4 linked regions of the Anolis sagrei genome follow. The protein of the gene in region 4 purifies or fractionates together with the protein of the main gene of each other region. This does not show direct contact. Links are inferred from orthologs where the notes say so. Each region holds a gene or a part of one and is shown on either strand. Other genes may lie near its edges.

Evidence for each region.
Region 1: the proteins of SOD1 (region 4) and PRDX5 fractionate together in Homo sapiens (co-fractionation; 3 studies listed by BioGRID and IntAct, with this or other methods). This does not show direct contact. The link is inferred for Anolis sagrei from reciprocal best matches to the Homo sapiens genes SOD1 and PRDX5.
Region 2: the proteins of SOD1 (region 4) and TPI1 purify together in Homo sapiens (affinity purification with mass spectrometry; 3 studies listed by BioGRID, with this or other methods). This does not show direct contact. The link is inferred for Anolis sagrei from reciprocal best matches to the Homo sapiens genes SOD1 and TPI1.
Region 3: the proteins of SOD1 (region 4) and ENO1 fractionate together in Homo sapiens (co-fractionation; 3 studies listed by BioGRID, with this or other methods). This does not show direct contact. The link is inferred for Anolis sagrei from reciprocal best matches to the Homo sapiens genes SOD1 and ENO1.

What each region holds. Positions count from the first base shown.
Region 1 is NC_090032.1:16,793,072-16,801,085, reverse strand, and holds the start of PRDX5 (peroxiredoxin-5, mitochondrial), read right to left. Parts: upstream 3,200-8,014; 5' UTR 3,117-3,199; coding exon 2,976-3,116; intron 1-2,975. Other genes in the region: TRMT112 (multifunctional methyltransferase subunit TRM112-like protein), read left to right, coding at 6,035-6,115. UniProt on the Homo sapiens protein: Thiol-specific peroxidase that catalyzes the reduction of hydrogen peroxide and organic hydroperoxides to water and alcohols, respectively.
Region 2 is NC_090022.1:198,088,959-198,097,459, reverse strand, and holds the start of TPI1 (triosephosphate isomerase), read right to left. Parts: upstream 3,431-8,501; 5' UTR 3,345-3,430; coding exon 3,233-3,344; intron 1-3,232. UniProt on the Homo sapiens protein: Triosephosphate isomerase is an extremely efficient metabolic enzyme that catalyzes the interconversion between dihydroxyacetone phosphate (DHAP) and D-glyceraldehyde-3-phosphate (G3P) in glycolysis and gluconeogenesis.
Region 3 is NC_090033.1:2,612,267-2,620,347, forward strand, and holds the start of ENO1 (alpha-enolase), read left to right. Parts: upstream 1-4,493; 5' UTR 4,494-4,592; intron 4,593-8,081. UniProt on the Homo sapiens protein: Glycolytic enzyme the catalyzes the conversion of 2-phosphoglycerate to phosphoenolpyruvate. In addition to glycolysis, involved in various processes such as growth control, hypoxia tolerance and allergic responses.
Region 4 is NC_090023.1:68,915,644-68,923,865, reverse strand, and holds the start of SOD1 (superoxide dismutase [Cu-Zn]), read right to left. Parts: upstream 3,094-8,222; 5' UTR 3,048-3,093; coding exon 2,925-3,047; intron 1-2,924. UniProt on the Homo sapiens protein: Destroys radicals which are normally produced within the cells and which are toxic to biological systems.

The sequences.
Region 1 (8,014 bases), on a different chromosome or scaffold from region 4:
CGTCCCCACCAGTCTCACTTGTGGTAAAGGACTTAGGCTTGGGCAATCCATGGTTCTAAATGGTTCTAAAGTACTTACAAAACTAAAGTTCTGGTGGTGAAAATTTCAGAACTCTAACAAAACTCTCAAAATTTCATAATAAATGGCAGTTCCTAATTGGTTCTGTCATTAAAATCACCAATAATGAAATAATAATTAAATTTTGAAAGTTTTGTTAGAGTTCTGAAATTTTCACTACCAGAACTTTAGTTTTGTAAGTACTTTAGAACCATTTAGAACCATGCATTGCCCAAGCCTAAAGGTGGGACCGAGAGCAGGGCCTCCCCAGAAGATCTTAAACTCCAAGATGGGACATAGAAGGAGATACATTCGGACAGGTACGCTTTTGCCCTCCATTTGTGCCTCTTCAAATTCCTCAGCACTGCTGGTCACAGCTGACCTCCAGCTGGAGCTCTCAAGGGCCAGGGCTTCCCAGTTCTCAGTGTCTATGCCAGAGTTTTTAAGGTTGGCTTTGAGCCCATCTTTATTTATTTATTTAGAAGTTTTCTATACTGGCCTTCTCACCTCGACGAGGGACTCAGGTCGGTTTACAGCATATATAAAATACAATCATATAAAGAACAACAAGTGCAAAGTCATTACATATTAAAATAGTACAATACAGTACAATAAAACATCATCATCACAATTACCTAAGCCAAATCGTCAATCCAGTCATGGTCATAGTCATACTTGTAGTCACAGTTCATCATAATTCATCACAGGGGGAGGTTCTAGATTCAGTCCTCAAATGCCACATTCCAAATGTCTTTAGTAATTTCCTGAATGTCAGGAGGGAGGGAGCAGATCTGATCTCTAGTGGGAGGGAGTTCCAAAGCCGGGGAGCCACCACCGAGAAGGCCCTGTCCCTTGTCCCCACCAACCGTGATTGCGAGGGTGGTGGGACCGAGAGCAGGCCCCCCCTGGAAGATCTTAATAGCCTTGATGGTTCATAGGGGAGAATCCGTTCGGACAGGTAAACTGGGCCAGAGTCGTTTAGGGCTTTATAGGTCAGAACCAGCACTTTGAATTGTGCACAGAAGCTGATCGGCAGCCAGTGGAGCTGGCGTAACAGAGGGGTCGTATGGTCTCTGTACCCCGCTCCTGTTAGCAATCTGGCTGCCGCACGTTGGACTGATTGACGCTTCCAGGCAGTCTTCAGAGGCAACCCCACGTAGAGAGCATTGCAGTAGTCTAAACGCGATGTAACCAGAGCGTGGACTACTTTAAATCTCTTTTCGTAGGATAATCCTCCAGGGTGGGTCCGTAGGTGGCAATGGAGCCCTATTCTTGACCTGCATCTTCTCCTGCAGCGAGGGCATTGGTTTCCAGGTGAAAAGCGGTCCCAGTTGGGGTTGGCTTGACGCGTCTTCCTCTTGGCATGTTTATTTCTTCCTCCATTCATGCCTCTTCAAATTCTGCAGCACTACTGGTCACAACTGACCTCCAGCTGGAGTGCTCAAGGGCCAGAGTTTTTAAAGAAAAAGGAATGTTGGTGGGAAGGAAAAGAGATTGAAAGATGGGATCAAAGCCAACCTTAAAAACTCTGGCATTGACCCTGAGAACTGGGAAGCCAGAGTTTTTAAGGTTGGCTTTGATCCCATCTTTCAATCTCTTTTCCTTTCCACCCACATTCCGTTTTCCATTCTTGAGATCGGAGTAGAGCAACTGCTTTGTGAGACGGTGGTCGGGCATCCGGACAACGTGGCCAGCCCAGCGGAGTTGATGGCGGAGGACCATTGCTTCAATGCCGGTGGTCTTTGCTTCTTCCAGCATGCTGACATTTCCCCGCTTGTCTTCCCAAGAGATTTGCAGGATTTTCCGGAGGCAGCGCTCATGGAATCGTTCCAGGAGTTGCATGTGACGTCTGTAAACAGTCCTTGTCCTGCAGGCATATTTGAAGCCATAGTTCCGCGTCCTAGTCTTCAAGGAAACAGAAAACAAGTTCTCCCCCTCCTCCCTCTCACATATTTATCCCTGGCCTTCTTCATGTCTTCTCAGGCTATTTAAGCCGCTCCTCATAGGGCTTGTTCTCCAGATCCCTCCTTTTTACTCCACATTTTCGCTTATCCAACGTTCTGCTCTTGGCCCGTTTATGCTGGAGAAGAGACTACTGTACATAATCCCATACAGAAAGGCTTCTCTTCTTCTCGGGCTCTTTAAGCCGCTCCTCATAGGGCTTGTTCTCCAGATCCCTCCTTTTTAGTCCACATTTTCGCTTATTTTCGTTGATGTTGGAGAAGAGACTACTGTACATAATCACATACAGAATGGCTTCTCTTCTTCTCAGGCTCTTTAAGCCGCTCCTCATAGGGCTTGTTCTCCAGATCCCTCCTTTTTAGTCCACATTTTCGCTTATTTTCGTTGATGTTGGAGAAGAGACTACTGTACATAATCCCATACAGAAAGGCTTCTCTTCTTCTCGGGCTCTTTAAGCCGCTCCTCATAGGGCTTGTTCTCCAGATCCCTCCTTTTTAGTCCACATTTTCGCTTATTTTCGTTGATGTTGGAGAAGAGACTACTGTACATAATCCCATACAGAAAGGCTTCTCTTCTTCTCGGGCTCTTTAAGCCGCTCCTCATAGGGCTTGTTCTCCAGATTCCTCCTTTTTAGTCCACATTTTCGCTTATTTTCGTTGATGTTGGAGAAGAGACTACTGTACATAATCACATGCAGAAACTACAATGCACAATAGACATAAATACACACACACAAAATATGGTATTCCAGCCCTTAAGAGGAATGCCTCACACACAGTCAATGCAACTCGAGAAGGGCCTGAGTGAGGCCTAGGCCTGGAATGCCTCCTGAGGAGGCATTCCAGGCCTAGGCCTCACTCAGGCCCTTCTCGAGCCTTTGCCAACTCTAATGACGGCTCCCGGAGGGGCCAAACCGCGTTAACTCTCCGGTGTGGACCCGCCCCGAGGCGACTGACCTTGAGGGCGGCCATGGCTGCTGCTCCGGTCCCGAAATACCGGCCCTTCTGCGCTCCACGGATGCCGAGGAGTGGGGCCTGCACCAAAACAGCCCTGCCTGCCAAAGCCAGCACCCCCGCCCCTCGCCACCCCGTTGCCATGGAAATCGCAGGAGTGACGGCTGCTGCCCTGGCAACCCCGGGCCTGCCTCCCAAGTCTCCCTCTCCCCTCCGGAGGGCGGGTAGTCAGGGGGCGGGGCCAACGCAAGGGGCGGGGCCTGGGGTGGCTCATCTGCATCTCATTTGCATGAAGTACAACCACGTGGAAATGAACACAATCTGCCGACCAGTATTAAAAACCAACCTCTAAAATCAGCATGGTAAATAAAGAACAACGCTCAGAAAAACAGGAAATAATCAGGGCCAGCTAACCTCCCCTGAAAGGATCCTCCCCCCAGGCAGGAAGCAGCCGGGCTTTGAAGCTGCAAGGCTATTCAATGCTAAGGCTTTAAAGCTGTAAGGGTATTCAATGCTAAGGATTCCCCCCAGGCAGGAAGCAGCCAAGCTTTGAAGCTGCAAGGCTATTCAATGCTAAGGCTTTAAAGCTGTATGGGTATTTAATGCTAAAGATTCCCCCAGGCAGGAAGCAGCCAGGCTTTGAAGCTGCAAGGCTATTCAATGCTAAGGCTTTAAAGCTGTAAGGCTATCCAATGCTAAGGATTCCCACATTCAGGAAGCAGCCAGGCTTTGAAGCTGCAAGGCTATTCAATGCTAAGGATTTCCCTCCAGGCAGGAAGCAGCTAGGCTTTGAAGCTGAAAAACTATTCAATCCTAAGGCTTTAAAGCTGTAAGGCTATTCAATGCTAAGGATTCCCCCATTCAGGAAGCATCCAGGCTTTGAAGCTGCAAGGGTATTCAATACTAAAGATTCTCCCCAGGCAGGAAGCAGCCAGGCTTTGAAGCTGCAAGGCTATTCAATGCTAAGGATTCCCCCAGACAAGAGATAGCCAGGCTTTGAAGCTGCAAGGCTATTCAACGCTAAGGATTCTACACGCAGGAAGCAGCCAGGTTTTGAAGCTGCAAAGCTATTCAATGCTAAGGCTTTAAAGCTGTAAGGCTATTCAATGCTAAGGATTCATCCAGTCAGGAAGCAGCCAGGGTTTCAAGCTGTAAGGGTATTCAATGCTAAGGATTCCCCCCAGGCAAGAAGCAGCCAGGTTTTGATGCTGCAAGTCTATTCAATGCTAAGTTTCCCCCATTCAGGAAACAGCCAGGTTTTGAAGCTGCAAGGCTATTCAATGCTAAGGATTCCCCCAGGCAGGAAGCAGACAGGCTTTGAAGCTGCAAGGCTATTCAATGCTAAGGATTCCCCCAGGCAAGTGTCAGACAGGCTTTGAAGCTGCAAGGCTATTCAATGCTAAGGATTCCCCCAGGCAGGAAGCAGCCAGGTTTTGAAGCTGCAAGGCTATTCAATGCTGTAAGGCATTCAATAGCTGTACGGCTATTCAATGCTAAGGATTCCCCTCCCCAGACAGGAGACAGCCAAGCTTTGAAGCCACAAGGCTATTCGATGCTAAGGATCCCCCCCCCAGACAGGAGACAGCCAGGCTTTGAAGCTGCAAGACTATTGAATGCTAAGGATTCCCCTCCGCAGACAGGAGACAGCCAGTTTTTGAAGCTGCAAGGCTTTTCAATCCTAAGGATTCCCCCCCCCAGACAGGAGACAGCCAGGCTTTGAAGCTGCAAGGGTATTCAATGCTAAGGATTCCCCCAGGCTGGAAGAAGCCAGGCTTTGAAGCTGCAAGGCTATTCAATGCTAAGGATTTCCACCCAGGCTTTGAAGCTGCAAGGCTATTCAATGCTAAGGATTTCCCCCCAGGCTTTGAAGCTGCAAGGCTATTCAATGCTAAGGATTTCCACCCAGGCTTTGAAGCTGCAAGGCTATTCAATGCTAAGGATTTCCCCCCAGGCTTTGAAACTGCAAGGCTATTCAATGCTAAGGATTTCCACCCAGGCTTTGAAGCTGCAAGGCTATTTAATGCTAAGGATTTCCACCCAGGCTTTGAAGCTGCAAGGCTATTCAATGCTAAGGATTTCCCCCCAGGCTTTGAAGCTGCAAGGCTATTCAATGCTAAGGATTTCCACCCAGGCTTTGAAGCTGCAAGGCTATTCAGTGCTAAGGATTTCCACCCAGGCTTTGAAGCTGCAAGGCTATTCAATGCTAAGGATTTCCACCCAGGCTTTGAAGCTAAAAGGCTATTCAATACTAAAGATTCCCCCAGGCAGGAAGCAGCCAAGCTTTGAAGCTGCAAGGCTTTGAAGCTGCAAGGAAATATTAGGGTTAGATATGAGAATAATATCATAATAATCGGTTCAGGGAAGTATAGTATAATAATAATAATACTCAAGAATCAATCAAAAATTAGTTCAAAAAGATATAATAATACTCGAGGCATTGGTTCAAGAAGATATAATAATATTGTAATAGTATAATGCTCTAGAAATGGTTCAAGAAGATCTAATTCCTGACACGAAACAATCGGGGCCAGCTAAAACCTCCCAACAAAGGATTCCCCCAGGCAGCAACCAGCCAGGCTTTGAAGCTGCAAGGCCATTCAATGCTAATCAAAGTGGCCAATTGCAACATTCCCACTTGCCTCAAGCAGACAAGAGTTCTTTCTCCCACCCTGGGCATTATTCTACTAAAACAAACAAACAAATAATCATAAATAATTATTATTTTATTGAAACATTTCGTTGATATTATATTTTATATATAGAACATTGTATATGTTATATTAACATTGCATTTTAATATTATATTTATTTATATATTTTATTTCATTTATTTAAATATTTAAATAGTGGGGATGTTGGTTTAAATGAAATATTACAACCCGGAACGGTGTCGCATTTAGATCTGGTTTCCCGTACATTCGATATTAGCGTTGCACTAACTCACCGGAAGTGTGTCGAAATTAGCCGCCGGAAGTGAGAGGAAAAAGGGGGCGTTAGAGCGGTGGAGTGGCGGCACGCATGCGCAGACGGTTTCCCGGCCCGGCCACCGGCGTCGTGCGAGGATGAAGCTTTTGACGCACAACATGCTGACTTCTCACGTGCGGGGCGTGAAGCCCGGCGGCGGCTTCCCTCTTCGCATTCAGGTGAGGGCGGGGCGTTCCCAGGCCACGCCCCCTTGATTAGCATTGAATGGCCTTGTACCTTCAAAGCCTGGTTTCTTCCTGCCTGAAGAAGTCCTTTGTTGGGATGTGTTAACAGGAATAAGCCAGGCTTTGAAGCCGCAAGGCTGAAATAATCTTCAAATCTATGGGGAATTTGGGGCAAATCCTACGCTGTGTTGCTGTGAGGATTTCCAGGTTGCCTGGCCATGTTCCAGAAGCATTCTCTCCTGATGTTTCGCCCACATCTATGACAGGCATCCTCAGAGGTTGTGAGGTTTGTTGGAAACTAGGACAATGGGGTTGATATATCTGTGGTGGGAGAAAGAACTCTTGTCTGTTGGAGGCAAGTGTGGATGCTGTAATTCGCCATCTTGATTATAGCAAAGAATGGCCTTGTATCTTCAAAGCCTAGCTGCTTCCTGCCTGAGGAAGTCCTTTGTTGGGATGTGTTAACAGGAAGAAGCCAGGCTTTGAAGCTGCGAGGCCATTTATTGCTAATCAAGGTGGCCAATTGCAGCATCCGCACTTGCCTCCAACAGACAAGAGTTCTTTCTCCCACCCTGGACATTATTCCCCCAGGCAGAAACCAGCCAGTCTGTGAAGCTGCGAGGCCATTCAGTGCTTATCAAGGTGGCCAATTGCCGCATCCGCACTTGCCTCCAACAGACAAGAGTTCTTTCTCCCACCCTGGACATTATTTCCCCGGGCAGAAACCAGCCAAGTTTTTAAGCTGCAAGGCCATTCAGTGCTAATCAAGGTGGCCAATTGCAGCATCCACACTTGCCTCCAACAGACAAGAGTTCTTTGAAGGTCCAAGGTGAGAGAAAGAACTCGGTGATAGTATGATAGGTGTGTACGGAAGCTCCGAGCGTTACGGAGATGCCGCAAACGCGGCTGGGAAAAGCGAAGAGAGGGAGCGGAGGGAGAGCGGGGAGAGCAAAGGAAGGATAGAAAGGAGGGGATGCTTGGGGTAAGGGTTAGGGCAGGGTTAGGGGTTAGGGTTAGGGGTTTCAAACTGCCAACCTAGCAGTTTATATAATATTATATTAAGGGCCGCTCAGTGGCACAGCGGGTTAAACCGCTGAACTTGCTGACCGAAAGGTCGGCGGTTCAAATCCAGGGAGTGGCGTGAGCGTCCGCTATTAGCAGTTCGAAAAGCATGCAAATGTGAGTAGATCAATAGATCTGGTGAGAAGGTAACGGCGTTCCATGCAGTCATGCTGGCCACCTGACCTAGGAGGACAACGCCAGCTCTTCGGCTTAGAAATGGAGATGAGCAGCAACCCCCAGAGTCGGACATGACTAGGTTTAATGTCAAGGAGAAATCTTTACCTTTACCTTTTACGGTTAGGGTTAGGGTAAGGTTTAGGGTTTGGGTTAGCGTAAGGTTTAGGGTTTGGGTAAGGGTTTGGGTAAGGGGTTAGGGTTACGATTCTGGTATGGTTCAGGATTAGGGTAAGGGTTAGGGTTTCACAATTAAAGAACTCTGGCATTCCTTCTATATTATCTATCTCCGGCCTGGCTTACATTAGCTAATAATAATAATAATAATAATAATAATAATAACAACATTATTATTATTATTATTATTAATTACATTAGCTAATAATAGTAATAATAATTACATTAGCTAATAATAGTAATAACATTAATAATAATAATTATTACATTAGCTAATAATAATAATAATAATAATAACTGCAAAAGGCCACCTGACTTGGATCTGTGCGCATCATTCGAAAATACATCATACAGTCCTAGACGCTTGGGAAGTGTTTGACTTGTGATTTTGTGATACGAAACCCAGCATAGAGATCTCGTTTGCTGTGACATACTGTGCTTTTGTGACAGTAAAATAATAATAATAATAATAACAATAAT
Region 2 (8,501 bases), on a different chromosome or scaffold from region 4:
CTTATATTCTGCTGCTTTGGAAGCTAGAACTTGGAGCAATGGCTTCAAACTACAGGAAAGGAGATTCCACCTAAACATTAGGAAGAACTTCCTGACTGTAAGAGCTGTTCAAAAGAGGAATTCTCTGCCTCAGAGTGTGGCGGAAGCTCCTTCCTTGGAAACTTTTAAACAGAGGCTGGATGGCCATCTGTCAGGGATACTTTGATTGTGCTTTTATTGCATGGCAAGGGTTGGACTAGATGACCCATGTAAGATTCTTATGACTCAGATTTTTGGGTGGAATTTTTGAGAATCGTTTCTACATTGCTAGCATTCCTCTCTGTTGGCAATGCGAGCTATCAATCGAACTTTATTTATATCCCATCCCACCCCCCCATGGGACCTCAGGGCAGCTTACAACGTGAAGACAGTCATTTGATGCCTCAAAAATAATAAATAAATAAACCATATAAGCATTCTATCAGAAAACAAATCATAATAAAAACCAATAAAACACTTTCCACAACAATAAAACTCTAGGCAGTTAAAAAGCCATATCCAGAATTAAAAGCTAGGGATGATGGGACTCCACAGTGGCATAATAATATCTGGAGCACTGCATAAGCCCTATCACTGCAGTAGAAGTGTTTCTTAAACTGTGCTGCCCCAGATATTTTGGACTTCAGCTCCCACAATTCCTAATAGTTGGGTTCTGGGAGCTGAAGTCCAAAACACCCATAGGAGCAGAGTGTGAGAATCACTGCATACCACAAAAAAGTAAAGGCTGTAGTAAAGGCTAGATCAGGCTAGATCAGGGATGGGCAAACCTGGGCCCTCCAGGTATTTTGGACTCCAACTCCCACAATTCCTAACAGTTCAAAACACCTGGAGGGCTGAGGTTTGCTCATGCCTGGGATAGATCCAACATTCAAAAGAGTAGACCCAACAGGACACTAATGGTTCATGAAACACAACTTAACTAAAAAAGTATTGATTCCAATGGGCAAGATTAATGTGGGGATTAAGGTAAAATGAAGAACATATTCATGTGCTGAAAAAGAATATTTTTAACTCACTTCTTTTATTTATTTATGACATTTATATGCCGCCCTTCTCACCCTGAAGGGGACTCAGAGCGGCTTACAAGATATATATATATATATATATATATATATATATATATATATATATATACACACACACACACACACACACATATACATACAATATATTATATTATATTATTAGAATAGTACAATATCAGTATTATATATTAAGATATTGCACTATACCATTATATTGTAATATAATTACAATCTTAATGAGACATGCCCCATTACCATGGGGTGTCTGCGCCCTACACCATTGGAGAAATTACACTGTTTAGCCAGTATTGCACCACCTGACATCTGCCGGGAAGTAGCAGCCAATAGTGAAAGGACTAAGGCAGTGACATCTCCAGCTCATCAAAAGCTGATATCCCTGTTTGGATATCAGCCAGCACGTCAATGACTTCAATCAAGACATAGTTTTCTAAGATCTACAGAGACACTCGCTGGAACACCTCAGCAAGCAAGAGTCCAAAAGTGGCAGGCTCAAATCCAGAACCTCAACCAATGGCTGATACCAAATGAGAGACTCCCCCCTGGGCACACAGAAGACTGGGCGACTTGGAAGGCGCTGAACAGACTGCGCTCTGGCACCACAAGATGCAGAGCCAACCTTAAGAAATGGGGCTACAAAGTGAAATCCACGACATGCGAGTGTGGAGAAGAGCAAATCACTGACCACCTGCTGCAATGCAACCTGAGCCTTGCCACATGCACAATGGAGGACTTTCTTGCAGCAACACAAGAGGCACTCCAAGTGGCCAGATACTGGTCAAAGGACATTTAATCAACTACCAAGCTTGCAAATTTTGTGTTTTGTATGTATGTTTGTTTTGTTCTGTTAGAAATGTAATACAATTGTCTGGTTGCCCCTGACACGATAAATAAATAAATTGTAATATTATTAGTCATATTACATGTAATATAAAGAACATATTCATGTGCTGAAAAAGAGTATTTTTAACCCACTTATTTATATGCCGCCCTTCTCACCTCGAAGGGGACTCAGAGCAGATTAGAAGATATATATATACACACACACCCACACACATACATAAATATGCAATATATTATATTATTAGCATAGTACAATATCAGTATTATATATTACTACATTGTACTATAATAATAAACTGTATTTATACCCCACCACCATCTCCCATATTGTTATATTAGTAATATCACATGTAACACAAAATATATAATTATATCGTATTATATTGTATTACATTATAATATTATATTGTACTAGCCATCCCCTGCCATGCGTTGCTGTGGCCCACATGGGGATTCTGTGTGGGAGGTTTGGCCCAATTCTATCATTGGTAGGGTTCAGAATGGTCTGTGATTGTAGGTGAACTATAAATCCCAGCAACTACAACTCCCAAATGTCAAGATTCTATTTTCCCCAAACTCCACCAGTGTTCACATCTGGGCATATTGAGTAATCTTGTAGTTTGGTCCACATCCATCATTGTTTGAGTCCAACGTGATCTCTGGGTGTAGGTGAACTACAACTCCAAAACCAAAGGACACTGCCCACCAAACCCTTCCATTATTTCCTGTTGGTCATGGGAGAACTGTGTGCCAAGTTGGGTTCAATTCCTTCGTTGGTGGGGTTCAGAATGTTCTTTGATTGTTGGTGAACGATAAATCCCAGCAACTACAACTTCCAAATGCCAAAATCAAAATTTTTTGAGTGAAGGCTATACATTGGGTTGTTAGGTGCATACTGTCCAAATTTGGTCTCAATTCGCCCACTGGTTTTTGAGTTCTGTTAATCCCACAAACGAACATTGCATTTTTATTTATATAGATTACATTATATTATTATTATATTATTATACTATAAACTTCTTTTAAATGCATTCAAGGGGAAAAACTGCTCATGAAAGGGAAAAGGTGTCTACTCCCCTAGTCAAATGCATGTAGAAAATATAGGCCAAAGTAAACCACCGGCTTCCAATGCCTTTGCAAAGGGCGCAGCAGTGGATGGGGAGCCTCCGCGCGCGGGGCTACGTGCAGCAGGGCACGCGGCGGAGAGGGGGCGTGGCTTGGCCGCAAGGGGGCGTGGCTTGAACCGCTCCCCAGCAACGCTCCCCCTCCCTTCCTTCCCCCCCCCCGGCTCCCCGGCCCCGCTTTACCGACGTCCCCGGCGACCTTGCCCCCGTTGAGGGTCTTGATGAGCTCCCCGAGGCTCTTCTTGTCGCCGTTCATCTTCCAGTTCCCGCCCACGAAGAACTTCCTTGGCGCCATGGTGCGGGTGGAGAGTGAGAGGAAGAAGGGAGGCGGCAACGACGGAGGAGGAGAAGATGGCAAGGTCGCACGGCGCGGCGGTCGCTCTTATAAGAACGCCTCAGCGAAGCCACGCCCATTCGCCCCTGCTGACGTCACATAGGCCCCGCCCCTTTGCACTCTGGAGGAGGGAAAGAGATCTCTATTTGGGAAATGTTCTGTTCCCGGTTTGAGAGTGCAATTTCCTGGGTTGTAGGTTTTCCGGGCTGTTTTAGAAGCATTCTCTCCTGACGTTTCGCCTGCATCTATGGCAAATATCCTCAGATGTTTTGAGGTCTGTAATTTCCTGTTTCATTATGTTGTTGTTCATTCGTTCAGTCGTCTCCGACTCTCCGTGACCTCATGGACCAGTCCACGCCAGAGCTCCCTGTCGGCCGTCACCACCCCCAGCTCCTTCAAGGTCAAGCCAGTCACTGGCTTCAAGGTCAAGCCAGTTCTATTACATAAAGAAAACACCGAAACAACCCAAATTAAAAATTATCGCCCAATTTCGCTCCTAAATAATGATTATAAACTATTCGCCACAATTATGGCAGAAAGATTAAAAAATTTTCTAAAAGAATGGACATCAAAAGAACAATCAGGATTTTTACCTAACCGACAAATAAAAGACAATACTAGAACTCTAATCAACATAATTGAATATTACGAAAAACATACAGAAAAGGCTCTGGCTCTACTCTTTGTAGATGCCGAAAAAGCATTCGATAAGGTAAATTGGTGTTTCATAAAATTGCTAGCTAAAGAATTGGATATGGGATTTTGTTTTAGAAATGTAATAAATGCAATTTACGGAAAACAAGAGGCCACCCTGGTAATTAATGGACAGGAGACCGAAAAATCAATACCAATCTCACAAGGTACAAGGCAAGGATGCCCATTGTCCCCCTTACTTTTCATTCTAGTCATGGAAATTCTGGTCAAAAACATAAATAACGATAAAAATTTAAGAGGGCCGAGAATTCAAAAAAAAGAATATAAATTAAAAACCTACGCAGACGATGTAGTGTGCTTTGTTGAAAGCCCAATAAACAATATCAAAGATTGGCTAAAAAAAATTGAAGATTTTGGTAATCTTGCGGGATTCAAGTTAAACAAACAAAAAACTAAATTATTAACCAAAAATATGAATGAGAAAGCAAAAGACACGCTACATAAAGTAACAGAAATCCAGACGGTATCCAAAATAAAATACTTAGGAATACACGTAACCAAAAGTAATATTGCACTAATTAAAAATAATTATGAAGTACTCTGGAAAAAAATCCAGAAGGATCTGGCGAAATGGAAGAACCAAAATCACTCCCTCATGGGGAGAATTGCATTAATTAAAATGATTGTGCTACCACAATTATTATTCTTGTTCCAAACTATTCCAGTGATTAGAAATAACCACCTTTTCAAAAAATGGAATTCGGACGTAATCAAATTCATATGGAAAGGGAAAAGGCCGAGAATCAGTCTAAAAATAATGACGGATGATAAAAAGAGAGGTGGGATGGGACTGCCAGACTTTAGGACATACTACGAGGCGTGCAACTTGGTTGCAATCAAAGACTGGACAAAATTAGAGAATAACCATATACTAACACTAGAGGGACATGATTTAAGAGCCGGGTGGCACAGCTACCTGTGGTATGATCGGCGGAAAATAGAAAAAAATTTTGCAAATCACATAATAAGAGCAGCCCTCATTAAAACGTGGGAAAAACATAAAAATAGACTGTTTAGATACACCCCACTCTGGATTTCAACATTGGAAGCAAAACAGAAAAAAGAATTAGGGATTGAAAATTGGCCCACTTACAAACAACTCCTAAAGAAAAACGAAGAAGGAAATTTAATCTTAAAGTCTTATGATGAACTCCAAAAAATAAATCCCAAAGCCACATGGTTGACCTATTACCAAATTCGGGAGGGATACAAAAAGGACGAAAAATTAGGATTTGAACAAAACAAGGGATTGTGGGACATAATTATGGAGAAAGAGAAAAAATTAATAAAAATACTATACAAACAATTACAAACTTGGAATACGGAAGAAGAACAGGTTAAAGAATGCCAAATAAAATGGGCTAGAGATTTTGGATATACTATCACGTCAGACCAATGGGAAGAAATTTGGACAACAAAAATTAGATATTCGGCAGCCAGTGACATCAAAGAAAATTGGTTCAAAATGTTCTATCGATGGCACTATACGCCAGAGAAATTAGCTAGATTTAAAAAAAATAATACAATTTCGGATAAATGCTGGAAGTGCGAAAAAAGAACGGGCACTTTTTTCCACCAATGGTGGGCTTGTACAAATATCAAAAGATTTTGGAATAAGATCCATAGGGCATCCCAAAAAATACTAAAATTAACTTTCAGAAAAGCCCCCGAGACTTACTTATTAGGAATACTCAAGGAGACCAAATTAAATCGAAATCAGGACAAAGTCTTATTTTTACTGAGTACAGCAGCCAGACTGGTCATTGCAAAAAAGTGGAAACAGAAGGAAACACCAACATTAGAAGAATGGATTATTAAAGCTTTCGATATAATACAAATGGATAATCTAGCTGAAAGAATAAACGGAGTTAAGAAAAAAACTGACTGGACAGATTTTACGGACTATTTAAAAACAAAAGAAATTCCCATCATGATCGATCTTACAAAGTTCTAGAAGAGAACAACGAAATGTCTACCGCTTTGTCAGCAGAAACAAATCAGAGTCTGAAGGACTAGCAACCAGAAGAATAAGACTCTTGAAAAACCCTGGGAAGTCAGAGTACAGAAGAAAACGGTGTTGGTGATGGAACCTTTCCCCTCCCCCCTTTCCATCCCCCAATCCCAAACCCACCTACCCTAATTCCTACCTTCCCCTATTTTTTCCTCACCCCTGTATAGTATGCAAAAACCAATAAAAAATATTAAAAAAAAAAAAAAAAGCCAGTCACTTCAAGGATGCCATCCATCCATCTTGCCCTTGGTCGGCCCCTCTTCCTTTTGCCTTCCACTTTCCCCAGCATCATTGTCTTCTTTAGGCTTTCCTGTCTCCTCATGATGTGGCCAAAGTACTTCAACTTTGTCTCTAGTATCCTTCCCTCCAGTGAGCAGTCGGGCTTTATTTCCTGGAGGATGGACTGGTTGGATCTTCTCGCAGTCCAAGGCACTCTCAGCACTTTCCCCCAGCACCACAGCTCAAAAGCATCGATCTTCCTTCGCTCAGCCTTCCCTAAGGTCCAGCTCTCACATCCGTAGGTGACTACAGGGAATACCATGGCTTTGACTAGGCGGATCTTTGTTGCCAGTCTCATGTCTCTACTCTTTACGATTTTATCGAGACTGGACATTGCTCTCCTCCCAAGAAGTAAGCGTCTCCTGATTTCCTGGCCACAATCTGCATCTGCAGTAATCTTTGCGCCTAGAAATACAAAGTCTGTCACGGCCTCCACGTTTTCTCCCTCTATTTCCCAGTTGTCAATCATTCTTGTTGCTATAATCTTGGTTTTTTTGATGTTTAGCTGCAACCCAGCTTTTGCGCTTTCTTCTTTCACCTTGATTAGAAGGTTCCTCAGCTCCTCCTCGCTTTCGCCTGTTTCATTATGCGGTCCTTATTTTGGCCCTTTCCACACAACTAAACAAAATCCCACATTTTCTGCTTTGAACTGGAATATATGGCAGTGTACACTCAGATAACCTGGTTTAAAGCAGATATTGTGGGTTATTCTGCCTTGATATTCTGGGTTATAGGACTGTGTGGAAGGGCCCTGGGAGTTTCCCCCTCACATGGATCCTTTCATTATCCCATATTATCTGAGTGTGGACTCAGATAACCAAATTTAAAGCATTTATTGTGGGATTTTCTGCCTAGATATTATGGGATAAAGGGCTGTGTGGAAGGGTCCTTGGAAGAAACTGCAAGGGCCATCTAATCCATACCCTTTCTACCATTTATTTATTTATTTATTTATTTACTTCACTTGTATACCGCTATTCTCAGCCCTTAGGTGATTCACAGCAGTTAACAACAATAATAGCAAAAATTCAATGCAGCATAACAAGGTATTTAAAAACAAATAAACCCAATAGCAGACTAAGCAATTAAACAACAATAAACATTTATTCATTGGCGTCTCATAACTAGAATCATGATCCAAACTCGTCATCCGTAGTTCCATTTCCTAAAATTCATTGCACTGCCTATTCAAACGCCTGTTCAAATAACCAGGTTTTCACTTTTCTCTGAAATACCATCAATGAGGGAGCTGATCTAATGTCTGTGGGAAGGGTGTTCCACAGCCAAGGGGCCACCACCGAGAAGGCCCTGTCTCTCGTCCTCGCCAGCCATGCCTGTGTTGCAGGCGGGATCGAGAGCAGGGCCTCCCTGGAAGATCTCAAAGTCCTAGTGGGTTCGTAGGCGGAGATGCGATCGGATAGGTAACTTGGGCCAGAACCGTTATGTAGTACATAATCAAATCCAAACTCAAGAATAGAAATAGGAATGTTGATGGACAGGAAAAGAGATTTAAAGATGGGCTTAAAGCCAACCTCAAAAACTGTGGCATAGACACCGAGAACTGGGAAGCCCTGGCCCTTGAGCACTCTAACTGGAGGTCAGCTGTGACTGGCAGTGCTGCAGAATTTGAAGGCACAATGGAGGGCGAAAGGGAGAAACACACCCTTAGTTCTTTTGTTGCTTGATGCTTGTCTATTATTATGTTTGCTTTATGCTTTTAAATTGCATTTTGTTATTGCTCTGCTTTTAATTGTTATGTTCCCTGGACTTGGCCCCATGTAAGCCGCCCTGAGTCCCTTCGGGGAAATGGAGGCGGGGTAGAAAAATAAAGTTCTTCTTCTTCTGTTTACTTTATGTGAGATCACATTATATCAAATTTTGACAGAGTCAGGATAGATGATGATGATGATTATTCCTTGGGGCAGATTACTTCCAATAGCTCAAAGATATCTGGAGTGGAAGAGGGCCTCTGGACTTGAACAAAAAGGAGGTGCTTGTGTCTGAGCAAGGCAACCAAACTGAGGTGTGGGCTATAAGCATCGTCCAGAACAAAAGGAAGGCAGAAGGCGGACGGAAAGCCTCTGGTTCTGATGGCAGCCCTCCCATGTTTGGTC
Region 3 (8,081 bases), on a different chromosome or scaffold from region 4:
ACTCCAATTGACCCACAGAAAATGCTGGAAAGGTTTGGTGGGTGATTGACCTTGAGTTTTGGAGTTGTAGTTCACTTACATCCAGAGAGCACTGTGGACTCAAGCAATGATGGGTCTGGACCAAACTTGGCACGGATACTCAATATGCCCAAAAGTGGTGGAGTTTGGGGGAAAAAAACCTTGACATTTGGGAGTTGTAGTTGCTGGGATTTATAGTTCAGCTACAACCAAACCCTTCCAGCATTTTGGAGTTGTAGTTCACTTACATCAAGAGAGCAAGGTAGACTCAAGCAATGATAGATCTGGACCAAACTTGGCACGGATACTCAATATGCCCAAATGTGGGGAAAAACGACGACATTTGGGAGTTGTAGTTGCTGGGATTTATAGTTCACCTACAGCCAAACCCTTCCAGCATATTGGAGTTGTGGTTCACTTACATCGAGAGAGCAAGGTGGACTCAAGCAATGATAGATCTGGACCAAACTTGGCCCAGATACTCAATATGCCAAAATGTGGGGGGGAAAGATCTTGACATTTAGGAGTTGTAGTTGCTGGGATTTATAGTTCACCTACAATCAAAGAACATTCTGAACCCCACCACTGATGGAATTGAACCAATCTTGGCACACAGAACTCCCATGACCAACAGAAAAAAATGGAAGGGTTTGGTGGGAATTGATCTTGATTTTGGGAGTTGTAGTTCACCTACATCCAGAGATCACGGTGGACTCAAACAATGATGGATCTGGACCAAATTTGACACAAATACTCAATATGCCCAAATGTGAAGACTGGTGGAGTTTGGGGAAAATAGACCTTGATATTTGGGGGTTTTAGTTGCTAGGATTTATAGTTCACCTACAATCCAAGAGCATTCTGAACTCCACCACTGATGGAATTGAACCAATCTTGGCACACAGAACTCCCAGGACCCACAGAAAATACTGGAAGAGTTTGGTGGGCACTGAACCTTGAGTTTTGGAGTTGTAGTTCACTTACATCAAGAGAGCAAGGTGGACTCAAGCAATGATAGATCTGGACCAATCTTGGCACTAATACTCAATATGCCAAAATGTGAACAATGGTGGAGTTTGGGAAAAATAGACCTTGACATTTGGGAGTTGTAGTTGCTGGGATTTATAGTTCACCTATAATCAAAGAGCATTCTGAACTCCACCAATGATAGAATTGAACCAAACTTGGCACACTGAAAATACTGGGTTTGGTGGGCATTGACCTTGAGTTTGGGAGTTGTAGTTCACTTACATTGAGAGAGCAAGGTGGACTCAAACAATGATGGATTTGGACCAAATTTGGCACAAATACTCACTATACCCAAATGTGAACACTGGTGGAGTTTGGGAAAAATAGACCTTGACATTTGGGAGTTATGGTTGCTGGGATTTGCAGTTCCCCTACAATCAAAGAGCATTCTGAACTCCACCAGCGATGGAATTGAACCGAACTTGGCACACAGGACTCCCATGACCAGCAGAAAATACTGGAAGGGTTTGGTTGGGCACTGACCTTGAGTTTGGGAGTTCTAGTTCACCCACATCCAGAGACCACTGTGGACTCAAACAATGATAGATCTGGACCAAACTTGGCACAGATACTCAATATGCCCAAAAGTAGCAGCTGCTCATTCGAATGCTAATAAAGCAGGCCTCTTCTTGCCCAAACAGATGCCAAGGCTAACAGGAATGCTCTCTTCTCCCCTTGCATGAGAAAGAATCCTCTTGTTCTTAAACAGGCATGCGCAAGGCCTGATACTGTCTGCTGTGAATCTGGATTCCCAGGAAAAACCATGTGGCTATCTATCGTAAAGACATGTATTCATGCTACGGGAAATATGACACACACATGAAGACTTGACTGCATTGTAAACAACGTTGTAAACACTCGCATGGCGTGGATTCCACTTTGTGGCCCCATTTCTTGAGGTTGGCTCTGCATCTCGTGGTGCCCGAGTGCAGTCTGTTCAGCGCCTTCCAAGTCGCCCAGTCCTCTGTGTGCCCAGGAGGGAGTCTCTCATCTGGTATCACCCACAAATTGAGGTGCTGGGTTTGAGCCTGCCACTTTTGGACTCTCGCTTGCTGGGGTGTTCCAGCGAGTGTCTCTGTAGATCTTAGAAAACTATGTCTTGATTTAAGTCGTTGACGTGCTGGCTGATACCCAAACAGGGATGAGCTGGAGATGTCACTGCCTTGGTCCTTTCACTATTGGCTGCTCCTTCTCGGCGGATGTCAGGTGGTGAAATACCGGCTAAGCAGTGTAATTTCTCCAGTGGTGTAGGGCGCAGGCACCTCGTGATAATGCGGCATGTCTCATTCAGAGTCACATCCACTGTTTTAGCGTGGTGAGATGTGTTCCACACTGGGCATGCGTACTCAGCAGCAGAGTAGCACAGCGCAAGGGCAGATGTCTTCACTGTGTCTGGTTGTGATCCCCAGGTTGTGCCAGTCAGCTTCTGTATGATATTGTTTCTAGCACCCACTTTTTGCTTGATGTTCAGGCAGTGCTTCTTGTAGGTCAGAGCACGGTCCACAGTGACTCCCAGGTATTTGGGTGCGCTGCAATGCTCCAGTGGGATTCCTTCCCAGGTAATAATCCTCAGAGCTCGGGATGCTTGTGTGTTCTTAAGGTGAAAGGTACATGTCTGTGTTTTAGATGGATTAGGGATCAGCTGGTTTTCCCTGTAAGAGGCAGTGAGAGCACCTAGAGCTTCGGAAAGCTTCTGTTCAACCATCTCAAAGCTCCCTGCTTGAGCGGTGATGGCACGATCATCAGCATAGATGAAACTCTCTGTAAATATATGGTATGAAAATATATATTGTAAGCTGCTCTGAGTCCCCTTCGGGGTGAGAAGGGCGGCATAGAAATGCAGTAAATAAATAAATAAATAGATGCCAATTTTCAGAGACTTGGTACGAACCGGCCCCTGGTAAATCTGTTTGCCTACATTAATTCCCTGTTGCTTTTGCCTTTTCCTTCTCTTTCTTTCTCTTTCCATTGATGCCAGTACCACTTAACTCCCTTTCGCGGCGGTGTGTTGACACACAAAAATCCAGCTGCGTGTGGCAAATCAACAAAAGAGTGTGGTCATGATGAGCATGACTGCATGGAGCACCGTTGCCTTCCTGTCAGAGCAGTACCTATTGATGTACTCACATTTTGATGTTTTTGAACTGCTAGGTTGGCAGAAGCTAGGGCTGACAGCGGAAGCTCACACCGCTGGGGATTTTCCATCCTTGAAAAAAAGAAAAGAGAGAAATTAAATATATTTTTAAAAGGAAAGAAAAAAGTCTCCTTCCTCTCTCTTTTTTTGAATTGCATTTTTGTATTGTATTTTTTGTTTTGTATAGTAATTTTTTTTTTGTTTTGTATTGTACTTTTTGTATTGCATTTTTGTATTTGCAAAAAATGGGGATTTTCCATCCTTGGAAAAAAGAAATAAATTAAATGCATTTTTTTAAAAAACAGGAGAGAAAGAAAAAAAGTCTTTTTCCTTTGCACTCTCTTTTTTTTGTAGTGTATTTTTTTGGTTTGTATTGTATTTTTATTTTATTTTTTGTATTGCATTTTTGTATTGTATTCTTTTTTTGTATTGTATTTTAATTTTATTTTTTTTATTGGATTTTTGTATTGTATTTTTTTGGTTTGTATTGTATTTTTATTTTATTTTTTGTATTGCATTTTTGTATTGTATTCTTTTTTTGTATTATATTTTTATTTTATTTTTTGTATTGCATTTTTGTATTGGATTGTTTTTGGTTTGTATTGTATTTTTATTTTATTTTTTTGGATTGGATTTTTGTATTGTATTTTTATTTTATTTTTTGGATTGCTTTTTTGTATTGGATTGTTTTTGGTTTGTTTTGTATTTTTATTTTATTTTTTTGTATTGCATTTTTGTATTGTATTTTTTTTGTTTCGTATTGTATTTCAATTTTTTTTTGTATTGCATTTTTATTTTATTTTTTTGTATTGCATTTTTGTATTGTATTTTTTGTTTCGTATTGTATTTCAATTTTATTTTTTTTTGTATTGCATTTTTATTTTATTTTTTGTATTGTATTTTTTTTGTTTCGTATTGTATTTCAATTTTATTTTTTTTGTATTGCATTTTTATTTTATTTTTTTGTATTGCTTTTTGTATTGTATTTTTTTGTATTGTATTATTTTTTTGTATTGCATTTTTGCATTGTCTTTGCAAAAAAATGGGGATTTTCCATCCTTGAAAAAAAAAGAAAGAAATTAAATGCGGGTGTTTTAAGAGTGAAAAAAAGGAGAGAGAAAAATTCTCCTTCCTTTCCTTTGCTCTCTCGCTCTCTCTCTCTCTTTGAGCAAAAAGGAAGGCGTTTGTGCACGTAGCGCACGCGCCAGAAAGGCTAGGCGAGCCTGGCGAGAGGCGCGTCCTGACCAATCAGGAAGGAGCCGGGGACCCAGCCAGCCAATAAAAAGCCGAGTCCCGGGCATTGATTTGCATACGCCCGGGTTATAGCTCAGCGCGAGCCAGGCGGATCTTCCCCAGTTGCACAGGAAGCAGCAGCCTTTGCAATTCTCTTGCTTGGTTCTTTTTGCAAACAGTAAGTAGTTTTCTATCATTGTAAGTTACTTTTTTTTTTGCATTGCCAGGCGCTGTTCTTAGTCCTAGGTAAGTGCATGGGTGTTAGTGTATGTGATTATTATTTGGATAATATATTCTAAATTCCTGCAATGGATTTGGTTGCAAAGGGAACAAAGGACCACTTTGCATCCTTTCCCAAATATCTAGGTAGTTTTTTAAGGTCCTCTTCCATCAGAGCAGGGCCCAAAATGCAAAAGGAAGGCCCTAAATAAAGGAGAAGTGAACCTATCATGGGCTGAGAGAGTGTGACTATTTAATGTATTTTTCATATATTTATTTTTCTAATATAATATATATTAATATAAAATGATATATTAGAATCTAATATTATATTTAAGTGCATGTTAACATATGATAGTAATTTAATATTGAATATAAATATTAAATTACTATTATATATATTTATGTTCATATAATATATTATTATATATTTATTTATGTTCATATAATATACTATTATGTATTTATTTATTTATGTAAATAAATAATAACAGTATAATCATGTAGTATGATATAATAATATAATATTAAGTGCATATTTAATATATAATAATAATTTAATATTTTTATTTTTATAATATGATATTATATATTATTATTATAATGTAAAATGATAATATTATATTAGAATATAATAATATAATAAGAAAGTAAATATTTAATATTTAATAGTAATTTAATATTGAATATAAATGCTGTAAATAAATAATTACAGTATAATCATGTAGTATGATATAATAATATAATATTTAAGTGCATATTTAATATATAATAATAATGTAAAGTGATAAATGTTATATTAGAATATAATAATATAATATCTAAGTGCATATTTCATGTATCATAATAATTTAATATTGAATATAAATCCTGTAAATAATTAATTACAGTATAATCATGTAGTATGATATAATAATATAATATTTAAGTGCATATTTAATATATGATAATACTTTAATATTGAATATAAATGCTGTAAATAAATACAATATAGTATAATATATAATATAATACTTAAGTGCATATTTAATATATAACAGTATACTATTTAAGTGCATATTAATATTTTATAATAATTTAACATTGAATATAAATGCTATAAATAAATAATATTCCTATTTGGAGCTAGGGTTGGAATTCTCCAGGCCTAGATAAAAATAATAATAAAACTTTGTTTATTGAACTATTTTATTGATTTATTTTATATTTATATTATATTTTTATTTTTTCCAATGTTTTCCCATGTGGGTTAACAGCAAACATGACCCAATATACTTGAAAACTTAAGCAACTGCAATAAAAAAATATATGAATTTAATAACATGTGTGGCTTGGAAGATAAAAATATTAAAATACATTTAAAGGTATACTTAAAAGTTCACATGCCCTCCAAAATCCCATTCATTGCTCAAGGTCATTTGTGGCTGAGTGAGGATTTGAATCCTGTGCTCCGGAGTCATAGTCCAACACTCATAATCTGATTTCTTGTTACCTAATAAGGGATTATGATGGTTATTTTGCAAGATTTCTTTGGGGGAGGCTTTCCCCTTGCCTTCCTCCGAGGCTGAGAGAGTGTGACTTTGCCCAAGGTCACCCTGGTCTCCCACATCTGAGAAACCGCTCTGCGTTCATTGGTGCCTCTTAGATCTTATCAGGAGAAGCATAATAATAATAATATAATTTTAAGTGCATATTTAATATTCCCATTTGGAGCCAGACTTGGAATTCTCCAGGCCCAGATAATAATTATATAATATCATCAGATAATAATTATATAATACCGTAATGTAATATAATATTATAATATAGTAGGATAATACAATATATTCTAATATAGTATAATAATACTTGAGTGCCTATTTAGTATTCCCATTTGGAGCCAGGCTTGGAATTCTCCAGGCCCAGATAATAATTATATAATATAATATTATTATATAATATGATAATATAATATATTCTGATATATTATAATAATATTTTGAGTGCATATTTAGTATTCCCATGTGGAGCCAGGCTTGGAATTCTCCACGTCCAGATAATAATTATATAATATCATAATGTAATATAATATTATAATATAGTATGTTAATGTAATATATTCGAATATATCATAATATTGGAGTGCATATTTAATATTCCCATTTGGAGCCAGGCTTGGAATTCTCCAGGCCCAGATAATAATTATATAATATCATAATGTAATATAATATTATAATATGATTATTTATTTATTTATTTATTGGCTTTGCTTATATACTATATATAGTGCATATTTAGTATTCCTATTTGGAGTCAGGCTTGGAATTCTCCAGGTCCAGATAATAATGATATAATATGATAATGTAATATAATATTATAATATAGTATGATAATATAATATATTCTAATACAATATAATATTTGAGTCTATATTTAACATTCCTATTTGGAGCCAGGCTTGGAATTCTCCAGGTCCAGATATTATTATTATTATATATGATATTATAATATAATATAATAACATTTCAGTGTATATTTAATATTCCTATTTGGAGCCAGGCTTGGAATTCTCCAGGCCCAGATAATAATAATAATAATATAATAATAATAATAATAATTATTATTATAATAAGATATTACAATATAATATTTAAGTGTATATTTAATATTCCTATTTGGAGCCAGGCTTGGAATTCTCCAGGCCCAGATAATAATTATGTAATATAATATAAGAATATTATAATATGATGATATATTATAATATTTAAGTGCATATTTAATATTCCTATTTGAAGGCAGGCTTGGAATTCTCCAGGTCCAGATAATAATAATAATTATCATTATTATTATTATTATTATTAAATGATATAATATTACAATATAATATAATATTTAAGTGTAGATTTAATATTCCTGTTTGGAGCCAGGCTTGGAATTCTCCAGGTCCAGATAATAATAATAATAATAATAATAATAATTATTATTATTATTATTATTAAATGATATAATATTACAATATAATATAATATTTAAGTGTAGATTTAATATTCCTGTTTGGAGCCAGGCTTGGAATTCTCCAGGTCCAGATAATAATAATAATAATAGTAATTATTATTATTATTATATAATATGATGTTATAATATAATATAATAATATTTAAGTGTATATTTAATTGTCCTATTTGAAGCCAGGCTTGGAATTCTCCAGGTCCAAATAATAATAATTATTATTATTATTATTATTATTATTATTTTATTATATGATAATGTGATATTACAATATAATAATATTTAAGTGTATATTTAATATTCCTATTTGGAGCCAGGCTTGGAATTCTCCAGGTCCAAATAATAATAATAATAATAATTATTATTATTATTATTATATTATATGATATTTCAATATAATATAATAACAATTAAGTGTATATTTAATATTCCTATTTGGAGCCAGGCTTGGAATTCTCCA
Region 4 (8,222 bases):
TCAGAAATCCTTTACTGTTGCCAATTTTTATGACCCCCAACAATGAGTTAAAGGGACCCTCTTTGGGGACAGGACTCACAGTTTACAGCAAAGTGATCTAGACCAGTTTCTCATCAAACTATGCTCCTCCAGATGTTGGACTTCAACTCCCACAATTTCTAAAAGCTGGTACACTGGCTGGGATTTTTGGGAGCTGAAGTCCAAAACACCTGGAGGGGCACAGTTTGAGAAACACTAGACTAAAAGTGCATGTGTTAATATCTAAACAGAAGTTGAGCATTCCTTATTGGGAAATCCAAAATACTCCAAAATGCAAAACTGTCCATACAGGTGGTTGTGACAGTGATACAGAATCTTAGAGTTATAGGGCCATCCAGTCCAACCTCATTCTGCCATGCAACAAAATACAATCAAGGCACTCCCAACGGGTGAGCATGCAGCCACTCCTTAAAAACCTCCAATGAAGGAGATATCCAAAGATGTACCTTCCACTGCCAACTATCTCTTACTAACCTTACTATCCTTCTTACTAATGTTTAATTGGAAACTTTTTTCTGCCCTTTGAATCTTTGCTTTCTGATGACTCAATGTACACAAACTTTGTTTAGTAAAGGTTAAGTCCATTATGTCCAGTTGTGTCCGAGTCTGGGGGTTGGTGCTGATTTCCATTTCTAAGCCAAAGAGCCAGCGCTGTCTGTAGACACCTCCAAGGTCATGTGGCCGGCATGGCTGCATGGAGGGCCGTTACCTCTCCTCCAACATAGTACCTATTGATGTACTCACGTTTGCATGTTTTCAGACTGCTAGGTTGGCAGAAGCTGGGGCTAACAGCGGGAGCTCACCCTGCTCCCCGGATTTGAACTGCGAACCTTTCAGTGAGCAATTTCAGAAGCTCAGTGCTTTAACCTGCTCCACCACGGGGGCTCCAGGAAGATAGGCTTGGATACCACCTCAGAGATATCTCATTGTGCACATATATGCAAATAAAGGTCTGAAAAAAATCTGAAATATTTCTCGTCCCAGGCATTTTGGATCAGGGATACTCAACCTGTGTATCAAAAAGTCACGAGAGAGAAGCACATACCAAAAACCTGGCCTTCAGAAATACAAATGTGGCAATTATTCTTTATTATTATTATTATTAGATGCATAACAAGATTAGTACAGAGTGAATAAGATCATTTGTATTCAATCACACGTTGGATAATGAATAATGTGTGTGCTGATCCGAGAAGGATGGCCTTTTGCAGCTGACAGATAGTAATCTTGTCAGTGTTGATTGTTTTTAAGTGCAGGCTAAGGTCTTTAGGCACTGCACCCTGCGTGCTGATCACAACTGGGACCACCTTTACTGGCTTGTGCCAGTCTTTACAGTTCGATCTTTAAATCCTCATGTATATTATTACTATAATATTATATTAATATCATGTATATCATTGTGAATATTGTGCGCGCGCACACACACACACACACATATTGCATATTACATCTGGCACCACAAGATGCAGAGACAACCTTAAGAAATGGGGCTACAAAGTGGAGTTCACGACATGTGGGTGGTGAAGAGCAAACCACAGACCACCTATTACAATGCAACCTGAGCCCTGCCACATGCACAGTGGAGGACTTTCTTATAGCAACACCAGAGGCACTCCAAGTGGCCAGCTACTGGTCAAAGGACATTTAGTAGAATGCCAAGTTTTTAAACTTTGTGTTTTCTCAAATGCATTGGTTCACTCCTGATACGATAAATATTAGATCATAATACTATATTCATATCATATATATTATTATCATGTATATTATAATTAATATTATGTATATTATAATATTATAGAATCATAGAGTTGGAAGAGACCTCGTGGGCCATCCAGTCCAACCCCCTGCCAAGAAGCAGGAAATTCGCATTCAAAACACCCCTGACAGATGGCCATCCAGCCTCTGTTTAAAAGCCTCCAAAGAAGGAGCCTCCACCACACTCCGGGGCAGAGAGTTCCACTGCTGAACAGCTCATATTAATATCATGTATATTATTATCATCATCTTGTATATTATATTAATATCATGCATATCATTATTAATATCAAGAGCCCCCGGTGGCGCAGTGGGTTAAACCCATGTGCAGGCAGGACTGAAGACTGACAGGTCACAAGTTTGAATCCGGGGAGAGTGCGGCCGAGCTCCCTCTGTCAGCTCCAGCTCCTCATGGGGGGACATGAGAGAAGCCCCCCCCCCCCAGGAATGGTAAAACATCAGAACATCCGGGCATCCCCTGGACAACGTCCTCGCAGACAGCCAATTCTCTCACGCCAGAAGCGACTTGCAGTTGCTCCTGATACGACCAAAAGCATTTATTTATTTTTCGCATTTCTATCCCGTCACTTCTCAACCCCCGAAGGGGGACTCAGAACGGCTTACAGTGGACCCCGTAATGAGGCTATATGATTATATTATTATTAATAATAATTATATTAATATCATTTATATTATTATATTTATATACTATAGTGAAAAGTACCACAACCAATACAATACAGTATGCAATTTAAAGCCTATAATGGAATTAAAAATATAATTATCTGAAAATGACAAAACTCACTGCAACTATTTTAAAACACATCGCCTTTGATGCACCCTAACAGAGAGCCAGCATTAAAGGAACTGGGCTAAGGGGCCATCTACACTGTGGAATTAATGCAGATTGGCGCCAGGGCTGAATGCCAGGGGTTCCTGGGATTTGCAGTTTGACAGAGAAGGCCCAAAACCTTGCAAGACTGCAGCTCCCGTGATGCCTTAGCGTGGAGCCATGGCAGTGACAGAGGGGCCTGCTTGCATGGCTGGATTCCCTCGCTCCCTCTCCGGCCCCAAACCCAGGCTTTCCATCCCTTTCCTTCCCGGCTGCTCCCTTCCCAGAAGAGCCTTGCCTGCTGCTCGAAGCGAACGACGCCGCAGACATTGCTCCCGGAGGCCGGGTCGGCCGTCAGCAAGCAGACCGCCTTCTGCACCGCCATATTGGTCGTCTGTCCAAAACCCTTCGCAGATAACATAGCTGCACCGCCCCTACTTGCACCACCGAGCACGGGCCCGCCTCCGCGCCCTTTTATACCCTACCACCCAATCGCCAGGCAGTGTGCCATTCTATCCCCGCCCTTCTCCAAGCCAGGCAGCCAACCGGCGGGCGAAACATTTCGACCTTAGCCAATCAGGAACGAGCGAAGGCGAAATGGTCTTTTCCCTCGCTCTGAAAGGAGGGCCCGGATTAATCAGCTTGTCCTCATTGTGGCCAAAGGTGAGTGCCTGTAGGGTTGAGGCAGTTTTACACTAACTCAGTGTTATGAAATCCTGGGATTTGGAGCTGTAAGACTAGGAAAACTACACTTCTCAAAGACATTATAAAGCAGCACAAACTTTTGCCAAGCACAGCAATACTATAAATCCCATTATTCCATGTTATTGAGGCATGGCAGTCGAACTGCATTAATTCTGCTGTGTAGATACACCTTCAGTCACACAAAAGGCTGTATTAATAATACTGTATAGATCAGGCAGGAGCAAAGTTTGGCTCTCCAGGTGTTTTGGACTCCAACTCCCACAATTCCTAACAGCCTCGGGCCCTTTCCTTTCACCCCTCAGCCGCTTAAGCGGCTGAGGGGTGAAAGGAAAGGGCCCGAGGCTGTTAGGAATTGTGGGAGTTGGAGTCCAAAACACCTGGAGAGCCAAAGTTTACTCGTGCCTGGTGTAGGTACACCTAAAGGCAAACCAGTTTCTTTATTTTATTTGTTAATGTCAGAAGCAAGTTCAGGGTACAGTTTAAATGCATTTAAAAACACCAACAAAGTTTTAAAAACTTGGCATTATGGTAAATGTCCTTTGACCAGAAGCTGGCCACTTGGAGTGCCTCTGGTGTCGCTATAAGAAGGTCCTCGCTTGTACATGTGGCAGGGCTCAAGGTTGCATTGTAATAATAATAATAATAATAATAATCTTCACATCCTTAGCTGCTGCAAGAAGATCATGCAGACAGACTACAAGCAGAGGCATAACACCATTGCTCGGGTGATTCATTGGAACTTGTGCCACAAATACCATCTGCCTGCGACAAAGAACTGATGGGATCACAAGCCGGAAAAAGTTACAGAGAATGAACATGTCAAACTCCTCTGAGAATTCTGAATTCAGACATACAAGAGTTTTGGAGCACAAAACTCCTGACCTCGCGATTGTGTTAAAAAACAAGGTATGGATTGTCGATGTTACAATCCCGGCTGACAGCAGAATTGAAGAGAAACAACTGGAAAAGCTGACACAATATGAGAATTTAAAGATCGAACTGCAAAGACTCTGGCACAAGCCAGTAAAGGTGGTCCCAGTGGTGATCGATACACTGGATGCAGTGCCTAAAGACCCTGGCCTTCACTTAAACACAATCGGCGCTGACAAAATTACCAGCTGCCAGCTGCAGAAGACCACCTTACTGGGATCTGCACGCATTATTTGCCGATACATCACACAGTCCTAGACACTTGGGAATTGTCCGACGTGTGATCCAATACAAAGCCAGAAGAGTGCCTGCTGTGGACTCATCTTGTTGTGTTTCTAATAATAATAATAATAATAATAATAATCTTTATTTATACCTCGCCACCATCTCCCCGAGAGGGACTCAGGGCAGCTAACATGAGGCCAAGCCCAAAAATACAATACAGCAAAATAAAATACAAGATGCAAACAACAAAAAACAGCAAAATTATATCACAATAAAATACATACAATAGCAGAATATAGTAAACAAAGCAAAATAACATAATATAAAATCAAACATTATGGGTGGGCCACATGGACAAGGTAAAATGATAAAACCCTGGATGAGGTAGGAGTAGAAAAAGTGCATTTGAGAGGAGCCCAAAAGGATGGACAGTGGGGTTAGGCTTTCAGTTTAGGATGGGAGAAAGTGCATCACAGGGGCAACACTGTAGGTGGAACAAACAGAAATGGGGTGAATGGTCATTCTCCAAAGGAACATCGGAAGAGCCAAGTTTTCAGATCTTTCTTAAAGGCTGCTAGGGTGGGGGCTTGCCTAATTTCACCAGGTAGTGAATTCCAAAGTCAGGGGGCCATAGCGGAGAAGGCTTTCTCCCTCATTCCCACAAGTCATGCTTGTGATAGAGGAATGGGCAAGAGGAGGGCCTCCCCAGAGGATCAGAGGGATTGTACAGGTTGGTGGAGGGAGATGTGGTCACGAATTACTACAAAATTGTAGGAAGTTTTCTGTGGTTTGTTCTTCTCCACACTCGCATGTCGTGGACTCCACCAATTTGTTAAGGTTGGCTCTGCATCTCGTGATGCCAGAGCACAGTCTGTTCAGCGCCTTCCAAGTCACCCAGTCTTCTGTGTGCCCAGGGGCAGAGTCTCTCATTTGGTGCCAGCCATTGAACGAGGTTCCGGATTTTAGCCTGCCACTTTTGGACTCTCGCTTGCTGAGCTGTTCCTGCAAGTATCTCTCTCGATCTTAGGAAGCTGTTTCTTGATTTAAGCCATTGGTTTGCTGGCTGACATCCAAACAGAGGATGGGCCGAAGATGTCAATGCCTTGTTCCTTTCATTATTGGCTGCTACTTCCCTGCAGGTATGAGGTGGTGCAATACCAGCTAAACAGTATAATTTCTCCAGCGGTGTTAGGCGTAGACATCCCGTGATTATGCAGTATGTCTCATTAAGAGCCACATCCTGTTTTAATGCAGTGAGATGTATTCCATACTAGGCATGCGTACTGAGCAGAAAAGTAGCAAAGCACAAGGGCAGATGTCTTCACTGTTTCTGGTTGTGATCCCCAGGTTGTGCCAGTCAGCTTTCGTACGATATTACTTCTAGCACCCACTTTTTGCTTGATATTCAAGCAATGCTTCTTATAACTCAGTCCACGGTTCAGAGTGACTCCCAAGCAGGGCTGTAGCGGGGGGGGGGGGGGGGGGGGTTGGGGGGAGTTTAAGGGTTTTACACCCCCCCCCCCCCTCCGAAAGGGTTCAACACCCCCGCCGGTAACCTGGTTTACTCATGAATTTTGACTGGTTTACCAATTTATGAGTAAACCATGTTTCTTTTTTAGCCTGACACATTTCAGGGCGGGGTTGAACTTTTAACCCACCCCCGGCTACAGCCCTGCTCCCAGGTATTTGGGTGTGCTGCAGTGCTCCAGTGGATTTCCTTCCCAGGCAATCCTCAGAGTTTGAGATGCTTCTCTGTTCTTAAGATGAAAAGCACATGTCTGTGTTTTAGATGGCTTAGGAATCCACTGGTTTTCCCTGTAATAGGCAGTAAGAGCACCTAAAGCTTCAAAGAGCTTCTGTTCAACCATTTCAAAGTTCTGCTTGAGCAGTGATGGCACGATCGTCAGCAAAGATGAAACTCTCTGTCCCTTCTGGCAGTGGCTGGTCATTTAGCTGGTCATTTAGCATGTAAATGCTAAAAAATGTGTAAAAGCCAGTTAATAAGGGCAAATAATAACAAGGCAAGGGCCGCCCAGCTGCATTTTCCAAAGTTAAACTTTTTTTGGAAAGCCAGTATTACTACAGATTTGAGTATCCCTCATTATGTATCTGCAAGAATTCCAAAATCTGAAATGCAGAGCACTTCTAGTGCTTGCCAACACATAATGTAATATTTTGGAGATGGGATGCAAATCTAAACATGAAATTTACTTATGTTTCATATCCACATAGCCTGAAGGTCATCTTATATAGAATATTTTAAATAATTATGAGCATGGAACAAAGTTTGTTCACATCAGAAAGCAAAGATGTCAGCAATTCAGTTTTGAGTGTTAGAGTATTTCGTATTCCAGGCAACCTGTATTGCTTATTCCCAACTGGACAGTTCTACAATCTTTATTTCATCTCCTTGCTTCCATGTTAGAAAATCAATATCCCTTGCGTCATGTGTCAATTCACCTGCAACAACTGCAATTTTGTGAGTTTTCTGGGCTATATGGCCATGTTCCAGAAGCATTCTCTCCTGATGTTTTCCCCACATCTGTGGCAGGCATCCTCAGAGGTTGTGAGGTCTGTTGGAAACAAGGCAAGTGAGGTTTATGTATCTGTAGAATGTCCAGGGTGGGAGAAAGAACTCTGGTCTGCTCGAGGCAAGTATGAATGTTGCAATTGGCCACCTTGATTAGCATTTAATGGCCTTGTAGCTTCAAAACCTGGCAGATTTCTGCCTGAGGGTCCTTTGTTGAGAGGTGTTAGCTGGCCCTGATAGAATTTTGTTTGGAATTCTCCTGTTTTTTGAGTGTTGCTTTTTGTTTACTGTCCTGATTTTAGTTTTTTAATACTGGTAGCCAGATTTTGTTCACAAGTCATTTAAATTCATCAAGCATGTGGACAGTTTCAACAGAAAGGAGGACACCATGAAAATGAACAAAATCTGGATACCAATATTTAAAAACCCTCTAAAATCAGGACAATAAACAAAGAGCAACACTACAGCTCCAAATACATTAGAAATAAAACAATATTAAGTCTGATCCTTTCCCACCTTAATGGAGAACCAGATCCACAACAAATTGGACATGAAGGCCATAACTTTCTACTGTTGATTCCATTCACCAGGTAGATGGGTTGAGGCAGGCCCATAGCCAGGATTTTGATTCGGGGGGGGGGGGGGCTCAGGATCTACTCTAGCAAACCTTTTCTATCATTATCCCAATACCCCCATGCATATGGGATATATTGAGCATGGTGATCATATCCTGATATGAATAAACATAACCGTTTAAATAATGTAGCAGTAAGGCCTTCTCGCGGACCACCCTGAGAATTTCGGGGGGGGGGGGGGGCTACGGGCCTGGATTGAGGGCACATGTTGCCTCCAATTCTGGATAGTACATTGCTTGCATGAGTAGTTTATTGATTTTTCATCATTTTGTACCATCCATTTTAAAGCATTCAGATTGGTGGCCATCTTGTGGTACCAAATTCCATTATTTATCTCATGTATTTCACAGCTTGTGTTTGAATATATATTGTGTGTTTTTGCACAGGAATACCTCAAGAGATTTCCAATAAAGGAATTTTGTCATTTTCAGGGAAGCGCTGACTTGATGCAAATGCCAAAGACAAGATTGCATCTCTTGCACTTTATTTGAAGCAAGATGATTTAATGATAAGGTAGTAATGCTACAAGAAGCTGACGAATTATCTAACCACTTTATGGTTTTGTAATATA